Linked DNA regions of Rattus norvegicus. The protein of the gene in region 2 interacts with the protein of the main gene of each other region in a pairwise test. Links are inferred from orthologs where the notes say so. Each region holds a gene or a part of one and is shown on either strand. Other genes may lie near its edges.

Region 1 (4,556 bases), on a different chromosome or scaffold from region 2:
ACCTGCACTTTTTTTTTTCCTTTTTTGTTTTCAAGACAGGATTTCTCTGTGTAGCCTTGGCTCTTCTGGAACTCACTAACTCACTTGTAGACCAGGCTAGCCTTGAACTCAAGAGATCCATTAGACTCTGACTCCCAAGACCTAGGATTAAAGTAGTGTGCCATCACTGCCTGGCTCCCTATGCATTTCCTAATTTAAAAAAAAGTGAGTGATAAGCTAGGTGGTGTGGTTAGGTGGTGGTGTGGGGGTAGCATTAATCTCAGCATTTGAGAGGTAAGCAGGTGGCCAGCCTGGTCTACAGAGTGTGTTCTAGAACAGCCAGGGCTATATGGAGAAACCTTGTCTACAAACACAAACAAACAATACGAATCAACATTACCATTTTTTTTTATTTATCCAATTTTATTTTGTGTGTATTGGATTGGCGTGAGGGTGTCAGGTCCTCTGGAACTGGAGTGACAGACGTTGTGAGCTGCCATGTGGTTGCTGGGAATTGAACTCTACTACTCTGGAAGGGCCGTCCATGCTCCTCGCTACGGAGTCATTTCTCAAGCCCTGGACATTACTATTTTAAGGTACCCAGTTCAGTGGGTTTTAGTGGCTTCACATGTGCGTACAGCCGGCAGCAGCACCTAATCCAGAGCCTGTCACCATCTCAAATGACAGCCCGTCCCCGTGAGCCAGCAGCCAGCCCTCTTCCCTCGCACGGCAGCACCTGCTGTCTGTCTGTGTGGATGCGCTTATTCTGGGTCGCGGTTTTAAAAATTAGGAGATCGAGCACGTTACCTTCTGATGTCTTTCATGTCGTAGTTACACGTTAGTTGTTTTTTATCTTGCTTTTGAGACAGGGTCCCAAGTAGTCCAGGCTAGCCTGGGACTGGCCATGGAGATGACCCTTCTCCCTCCGCCTTCCAAATGCTGAGGTTACAGATAGTACCACCCTGCCCAGGGTGAGGTTCTGATTAGCTCTTCCTGAGGGGGTGAGGGGGTCACGTGCTGTCTCACCTCTGGGTGACTACACCGTGTTGCTGTGAGCATTGGCCTACATTGCACCTTCTTTCATTCTCTTGGCTATACCTCAAGTGGGAGAACGGCAGCCATATGATAACCTCACGATCAATTTTGCCGACATGCGTGTCTGTGTTCTACATGTGTATCGTGCCCATGGAGGTCAGAAGGGGGTATCGAAGCCCCTGGGACTTACGGTTGTGAGCTGCTGTGTGTGGGCTGGGCCTTGAACACCAGCCTTCGACAAGAGCAGCACCTCTCCAGCTGCTCCATGAGCAACTTGGTGAGGAAGTCAGGAGAGTTTGTCTGAAAGTAAACTCTCCTGAGGCTTTACAACCATTAGCCTGAGGCTTTACAACCATTAGCCCCTGGCTTTAATACCCAAAGCCATCCTCTTGGGTTCATCATAAAACCTCTTACCCACACATGGCCCAAGGTGGATTCAAAAGGCTCTGGCTGACCTTTCCAAATGTCTTGACTCTTGTGTGTCTTAGCTGTTGTTTGGCTCTTTAAACAGATCATGTTTCCCTGCCCCAGGACCTTTGCCTATGATACCACTGTGTTGTAGTACCTGTCCATTTGGCTCAGCCACCCGTCTCAGACCATTGCCCTGTGTGCTTGCTCTTGTCCCTCGGGGCTCAGACCCACTTGTCCTCCTGACCTACAGTTTCCTTTGCTCTATAACGTGCGGAGAATACAGGACTCTTTCATGGGTTTCTATTTGCATGGATTGGACAACACTTACCACTCGGCCGGATCTGACTAGGCAAGGACATGGGGAAGCGGGGTGAGGTGGTCCCTGCAGGCTGGTTCACTTTACACTCACCGGGAAGGCCAGCTGGCAGATGGGGTCCATCCATGACTGGCGGTGCTGTGCAGCCAGCAGGTGGCTTCGCTCAGTGGTGGTGATCAGGAAGGCCCCAGTGTCCCTGGGGCAACTCTCACCATCCGCCGGCAGAACAGATACACAGTCAGCCAAGCGTATGATCCGGCGTTCCCCTCTACGGCCAGGCCCTGCGGGCCTGTCACCTCCTGGCCCCAGGCCACCATCACGAACGTCCCAGCTTTCTAGCCGAGCTACTCCCGACGGGCCTCCTGCATACAGCAGAGCCCACACTTTGCGCCAGCATTTCTGTAAGAAAGGAGATCCTTGGGAAGAAAGCCACCCTTGCCCCTTGGCTCTGTACAAGCTGCTTAGCTTCTGCCTCCCTAGGACTTAGGGTACTGAGGAAGGAGGAGGCCTTGCTGGGGCAGGGGTAGGCAGGAAGAGATCTACACTTGGGGCTGGTCAGCCCTGAGCCCTGGTCACACCTTGCCCTGTTCTGGATGACCTTCACAGTTAATAGTATCTAATGGCTGGGGCAGACCAACTGACACTGCTGTTACACAACCAGAAAGGGCACTTGGGCCATGGGCTGGGTGGGGTGGGAAGGCGGCCTCTGCTTCATGCTGGTAAGGAAGGAAACATGCAAATGACATCGCAGAGGCAGCAGACGGTTTATCTGCCCAGGAGCAGCTGTAGTTGAACTGTGGGTGTACAGTCTGATGCTCAAGGAGAAAAAAAGATAGATTCCCAGCCCATCTCCTCTCCAGGAGAACCAGCCTGTCTGCTCCGTCCTCAGAGGGCTTCTGACACACAGGCCTGGGCCTTCTCCAGGAGCCTTGGAACCCTTGGACACACAGGTTTTGATTCCTACAACGCTTCCATGGTCCTGGCATCTCTAACACGGTATGAGGCTGGCTTAGGGAGGAGGCTTCATCCCTAACCTTCTTGGGCCAAGAACCTCCTGTCTCCAGCTTTCACTTCACCCATACCCCCTTCCCAGTTATCTCAGGTCAGCTGTGTGGTTAGCTAAGCAGGGGCTTCCCTCCTCTGCCCGTGGCTGGCAGCCTGGGCTTCCCACCTTGCCAAACTTCATGTGCTGCTGGTAGAGGAGGCCGTCCTTGACAGGTGTCTCCACAGATTCCATGGCCACAACAGTTCTGAAGTCCCGAGGAGACTGGGTATAGCCGGACAGGAACTTCTCTTAACTTCTCGTTTTTTGGCCACTTCCCCCTCCCTCTGTCCAGAGACAGCTGCAGGGCCAGGGGGAGGGGAGCCCGGTCTTGGTTTAAAGGACAGTACTCAGAACAAATCTCTTCCTTAGGGTCCTTGCTGTTCCAAGAAACCGTACCTGCCTATGGGGAGCTTGAAGCCAGCAGGGTCCGGGGTGGCGTGGGGGGTGAGGACTGCCTCTTGCGCATGCACCTGGATCAGCTGGATCTGAGTGTCTGACCACAGGGTGGATGCCGAGTCACAAGCTCCGAACCCTCCCCCATTCCCAGGCAGCTGTGCAACGTGAGGATGGGAGCTGCACAGCCTCCGACCCTTCTCTACCAGATTGCTAAAGTGGCTGCCATTCTGAGTGGCACGTTTGCCGTGCTCTTAAGCACTGGGATCCACCCAGGGCCTTGGACATGCTAAGGTAACCGCCATACATTCCCAGGTCAATCAGAAATGTTTCCAAAGCTCATTTTCATCTCACCCCACTTAGGCCCACCCCAGCTGTGTCCACCAATCTTGTTGTTCCCCCTTGAGTCTAGTCTGGGCAACTCCACCCCATCTGTTCTCGCCTTTACTTCCTGAGGTGTAGTTCTTCAGATCCGTCCCCTCTAGGCACCCCTTACCACTGCTCTGCCCTGCCACAGGCGGCTGCTTCTTCCTAGAGGCCTTCCTTGACCACTCTCCAAAACTGGAGAGTGAAGCATTACACAACAGACATGAGGTAGCAGGCCACAAGGGCTCCATATCCAGGTTCACTGCTTGTCACATGTGTGGGCGGCAGGCCCCCAGTGCGCTCCCCAGGGAGGTCACATGCTTCTTTAAGCGTTGCTTCCTGCCCAGTGACTCTGCCCCCACCCCACCCCACCTGACCTGCCTTGTTGGAGGCCAGTATTGGAGCTTTGCATGAATACAATTTATGGGAGTATCTTGTCACCTGTGTAATGTCACCTTGGGGAAGAATGCTGTAACCCAGCTGAGGAATGTTGTTTGTGGGGTGTGTGTGTGTTGTCACACAGTGCACATGGAAATACACTCAAGAGGCCTTTGGCACCTAGCTCTGTGCCCACCATGGCTGTGGTCCAGGCAGCTCCGTGCCCACCATGGCTGTGGTCCAGGCAGCTCCGTGCCCACCATGGCTGTGGTCCAGGCAGCTCCGTGCCCACCATGGCTGTGGTCCAGGCAGCTCTGAGCTCACACAGCCTGGTCCTGTGCTTTTCGTTCTCTTGACAGTTCAGTGATGAGGAAATCAAGGCTCAGATAACTTAAGTAACTGGCGGAGGCCACACGCTGAGCGACAGACCTAGCCTGAGGGACTGCTACCTCTCCTTGCAGTTCTCGGTGCAGAGCTCCAAGTACCTGGGTGCTGCTGTACCACCTCTTTGGCCCCTTCTTACAGGAAAGTGAAGCCCCGGCTGGGTTGGTGGGCCAGCCAGTCTTTCAACAGGCCATCGGCATGTACATGTCTTACCTGTGGCTCCCCAGTTATCAGCCTGGCTTGTTTCAG
Region 2 (4,589 bases):
TGTGCGGAAAGTTTATGTCCCCCTCCCCCGAGGCAGAGGGCGTCCACGGCAAATCCCCAAGTACTGCATCATCCGTGCAGTTTTCCCTTGCCTCTCAGCTAAAGGAGTACGTGCAGAATTAAAAAAAAAAAAAAAAAAAAAAAGTGGGAAGTCCAGCACGTGGGAGGCAGAGGCAGAGGCAGGCGGATCTCTGCTAGTTCAAAGCCAGCCCAGCCTACTTAATGAGTTCCAGCCCAAGGCGATGTAGTGAGGCACTGCCTAAAAACAAACAAACAAAGAAATGAGGGAAAAAAGTGTTCCGTGTTTAGTTGCTGAGCGCCTGTGTGCTGGCTGGTTTTACACCCACTGACACAAACTAGAGTCACCTGGAAGGAGGGAGCCCCAACTGAGAAAATGCCCCCATAAGATCTGGCTGTAGGGCATTTTCTTAATTAGTGATTGATGGGGGAGGGCTCTGCCCACTGTAGGTGGTGCCATCCCCTGGGCTGGTAGTCCTGGGTTCTATAAGAAAGAGGGCTGAGCAAGGCATGAGGAGCAAGCCAGGAGAACAAGCCAGTCGGCAGCACCCCTCCATGGCCTCTGCATCAGCTCTGCCTCCAGGTTCCTGCCCTGGTGAGTTCTGGTCCTGAGTGAGTGACCAGACTATGATGTGGGAGTGCAAGCCATTAAATAAACCCTTTCCTCCCCAACTTGCTTTTAGTCATGGTGTCTCATCACAGCAATAGAAACCCCAACTGGGAGACTCTGTCTTCAGGTGCTAATATAGAGACTGAGAATACAAGTGTGCTAATACAAGACAGGCTGCTAACATGAGAGCCAAAAGTATACCGATCCATTCTTATTTGCCTTTAAAGGCACGACTACTCAAGATCCCAAGCAGGAAGTCCCCGAGTAGTCCACAAACAGCAAACAAACCCTGCCTCTGAACAGGGTGTGCTTCCTCTGAGCATTCCCAACTACGTGCTATCTACCCAAACCTTGACTTCAAAGCCAGCCTCGGTGCACCTCCCCTGGAGATTCTAACCTATCCCAGAGAAGTGTCTGTCCTCTGAAGTGCCAACCACTACCAGCTAGGATCTCAATTTATTTAGAGGCTGATCATCCCCTGAGGAGATGGCTCAGTCCATAGAGTGCTTGTTCAGCAAACAGGAACCCTTGAATTTGATCTAGCACCCATGTTTAAAGGAAGAATAAAGAGAGAGAGAGAGAGAGAGAGAGAGAGAGAGAGAGAGAGAGAGAGAGCGCGCCAACGTGGCTGTAATGTTAGTACTGGGAAGGCAGAGGCAGGGAAATCCCTGGGACTTGCTGGCCAGCCAGTTTGGCGCAATCAGCAAACTCCAGGTTTTGGGGGAGAGCAAGTGAGGAAGACGCCAGATGTCAACGTCTAGCCTTCATCGTGCACATTCGCGCGCGCGCGCGCGCGCACACACACACACACACACACACCCAAACATAGGCACACACACACAACCATTCTACTAGAATCAGTACTTTTTATCTATTCAAAAAACTTTGATTACCACCTATGAGCCAGTATTCTTCAAGAGACTGAGTGCAGCCAAACAGAATCGGCTTTTTCCCCATCAAAGGAAGGGGAGGGTTCTTGTATAGTGCTTTTAAAAATCTTCCTGAAAATATGTGGGTTGAGACTCAGGACTGAATGAATACCTATTTATTAAAGCCGTGGGCTTCCTGGTTGCAACCTCTCCAAGCTTACTTAAACTGAAGGTGCATGAACCTACAGGGAACAGAAGCTAAGGAAGCCACTTCTAAATGAACTTCCACTTCTTAAAAACCTCAAAAGAACAAGGAAGGAAAAGAAAACAGCTACGAAAGCGCTGCTGAACCAACACATTTTGTGCACTCTGACAGAGCATTCCAATCCCCCTTGTAAACTACAAAGAGTGACCCCCTACTCCCTCCCGACGCCTTGCAGCCCGAGATTCAAGCGTCTAAAAGATCTCAGAAAGTTGAACGCACCTAAGCTCCCTTAAGCAAGCCTTGGTTTCTTTGCGATTAAGTCCCAGGGGGAAATGAGCAGATGCCACTTGGACGAACCCAGCCAGAGTGACAACAAGGAAATGACAAACTGAGCTTCAGGCGCCAAGAGGGGCTCACAGACTGAACACCTCGTGCGCGATCAACGCAGAAGCAATTTTAAAAACAAACAAAAGCCGGGTTCTGCACAGCCCGGGTGGAAGGTTCCTAAGTTCCTAAGAGAAGGAAACGAGAATGTGCTCCAGGGGAGCCGCGAGGCTGCGCGCGGCGTGGGAGTTCCTGCAGGATGTGAGAGGGATTCCGCGAATTCGGTCTGCTCTGAAGTGGCTTTTGTGAGAAGCGACAGCTGGCACCTCACGGCGGGCGAGGGTGACGCCGAGCTGTGCCATGCGGCGCGGGCTGCCACCTGGGCACTCCCCCCATTCTCCGCAGCCGCGACGCCAGACACGAGAGCCCCGGCCTGCGCCGCGCGCGCCGTAGGAGCCGCGACCTCTCGGGGGAGCCCGCGCAGTCCGGACTGCGAGCCCCGGCGCGCGCACTCACCTCAGCAGACTGGAGAGAGGGTGGCTGGAAGAGCCGAGGCCGCCGCCCCCGGAGCCGCCGCCGCTGCCGGAGCCGCCGCCGCCGCCGCCGCCGAAGCCGGAGGAGAGCCGCTTCCCGGACAGCAGCTTCTCCACGGCCGGGAGGTGCCCGGTGCGGGCCGCCTCCAGCAGCTCCTGCTCCTTCCCCATCCCCAGGACCGCCACCCCTCGGACCCCAACCCCTAGCCTTGCAGAGCCAGCTCAGGCTCCTAAACTTTCCGTCTCCGGGCAACGCACCCCTCAAACCGGCCGGGGACGCCACCCCCTCTCTCCCCCTCCCCGCCTCCTTGGTCTCCCCCTCCCCTGATGGCGCGTCACTTCCGGGATCCGGCGTCACGCGTCACCGCGCCCCCGCGCCCCGCCCCCTTGCCCACCTAGTGGGCGGGGCTCGGCGCCGCCTTGCAGGTGACCCAGGGTGGCAGAGTGGAAGTCCGGGCGTGCAGAGTGGAGCCTGGCGCAGACGCGGTTCACGCCCAGCGAACCCGCCCATTCGACAGGTGGGAGAGAAGGAAGGCAGCACACTTGTTGGAGCTTCCCGAAGTGCTCGCCTTCTCAAAGGTTTGGGACCTCATGGGACTGGAAATCCGCTCATTGGTCCAGGCATCGTAGAAACAAAAGAAAGGCGGTAACGGGTACCCATGTTTTCAATTCCATTCAAGACACATAGATTAACTACGGAATAGCTGCGGATACCTAGAACCAGACTTGAAAAATCCCGCCCTCTGGTGCTTCCTTGAGGGAAGGCCAGAGAGTTTTTACAACTGCTGTTAGCCTGGCATTGTAGCACTCGCCGTTTGTCCCAGCAGTCGGGAAGCAGAAGCCGCCGCATCTCTGCGAGTTTAAGACCAGCCTGGCTTACAAAGCAAGTTACGGGCTAGCCAAGGCTACATAATGAGACCCTATCTCAAAAAGGGGGGCGGAAGAGGCGGTACGGGAGTGGCTGTTAGGTGGCTCCGTGGCTGCTCTGTCAGAGGATCTAGGTTTGTTTCCCATTCCTTGTGGCACCTCACTGCAGTCTGTAACTCCAGTTCTAGCGGATGTGATCCTCTTTTCTGGCCTCCCAGGGTACCACGAAAGCGTGCGGAGCCCAGACTTATATGCAAAACACCCATACACACGAAAGAAAAAGTTAAGAAATCTTTTTTTAAAAGATTCATTTATTATATGTAAGTACACTATAGCTGTCTTCAGACACACCAGAAGAGGGCATCAGATCTCGTTACAGATGGTTGTGAGCCACCATTGTAGTTGCTGGGATTTGAACTCAGAACCTCAGGAAGAGTAGTCATTGCTCTTAACCACTGAGCCATCTCTCCAGCACAAGAAGTCTTTTTAAAACGCATATCCTCGCTCTCCATCCTACTAATTCTTCCAATAAATGGTCAGAAGAGACCTTCTTTCTCTTAGTTGTCGTGAGAAACATTTTAAAAGATTTGGGGGACCAGTCCCAATTTTTAATATTGGTGGACTGAGGGGAAAAGGTAATGGGGAGAAGACGATTGTTTGCTTGCTTATTGTTTTTTCTGGTTTTTCTCAGGATACTAGCTAGCCCTGTTCTGACGCGAGGCAGGTGGCCAATATTTGAGACAATGAATGAAATTCAAGGTTCTGGCTACGTTCAACGAGTTGGCTACGTTCTGTTGGCACTAGATAGAGATGCTTGCGAAACAGAAGGTAAGCCTAAGCAGTTCCCTGGTGGACACAAGCCGGTGGTCTCAGTTCTTCAGAAAATACGAGGTTGGGTCGCTGCCGGAAGTTGCTCAGTCCAAGGCAACAACAGGGACGAAGTTTTCTCCCTGTTCCCTCGACTTTGCGCTGAAGGAGTCAAGTTAAAGAAGGATTCATTGGCATTGCATTCCCAGGAAGGAGAAGAAAAAGAAGTCTCTCGGTAAACGAATGTACGCTCTTTCAAAAACGCTTCTTCTCTAAAGCCGAGGCTCTATACTAATACATTTCTTTCTCGTTAAAACAAAGTCAGTTTACGTGAAGCCCCTGAGCCATGAACGCGCT

The links.
Region 1: the proteins of Anks1a (region 2) and Dok3 interact in a two-hybrid assay, tested with the Homo sapiens proteins (2 studies listed by BioGRID and IntAct). The link is inferred for Rattus norvegicus from reciprocal best matches to the Homo sapiens genes ANKS1A and DOK3.

What each region holds. Positions count from the first base shown.
Region 1 is NC_086035.1:9,114,021-9,118,576, reverse strand, and holds the start of Dok3 (docking protein 3), read right to left. Parts: upstream 3,003-4,556; 5' UTR 2,979-3,002; coding exon 2,913-2,978; intron 2,141-2,912; coding exon 1,835-2,140; intron 1-1,834. UniProt on the Homo sapiens protein: DOK proteins are enzymatically inert adaptor or scaffolding proteins. They provide a docking platform for the assembly of multimolecular signaling complexes. DOK3 is a negative regulator of JNK signaling in B-cells through interaction with INPP5D/SHIP1.
Region 2 is NC_086038.1:5,963,707-5,968,295, reverse strand, and holds the start of Anks1a (ankyrin repeat and SAM domain-containing protein 1A), read right to left. Parts: upstream 2,854-4,589; 5' UTR 2,730-2,853; coding exon 2,542-2,729; intron 1-2,541. UniProt on the Homo sapiens protein: Regulator of different signaling pathways. Regulates EPHA8 receptor tyrosine kinase signaling to control cell migration and neurite retraction.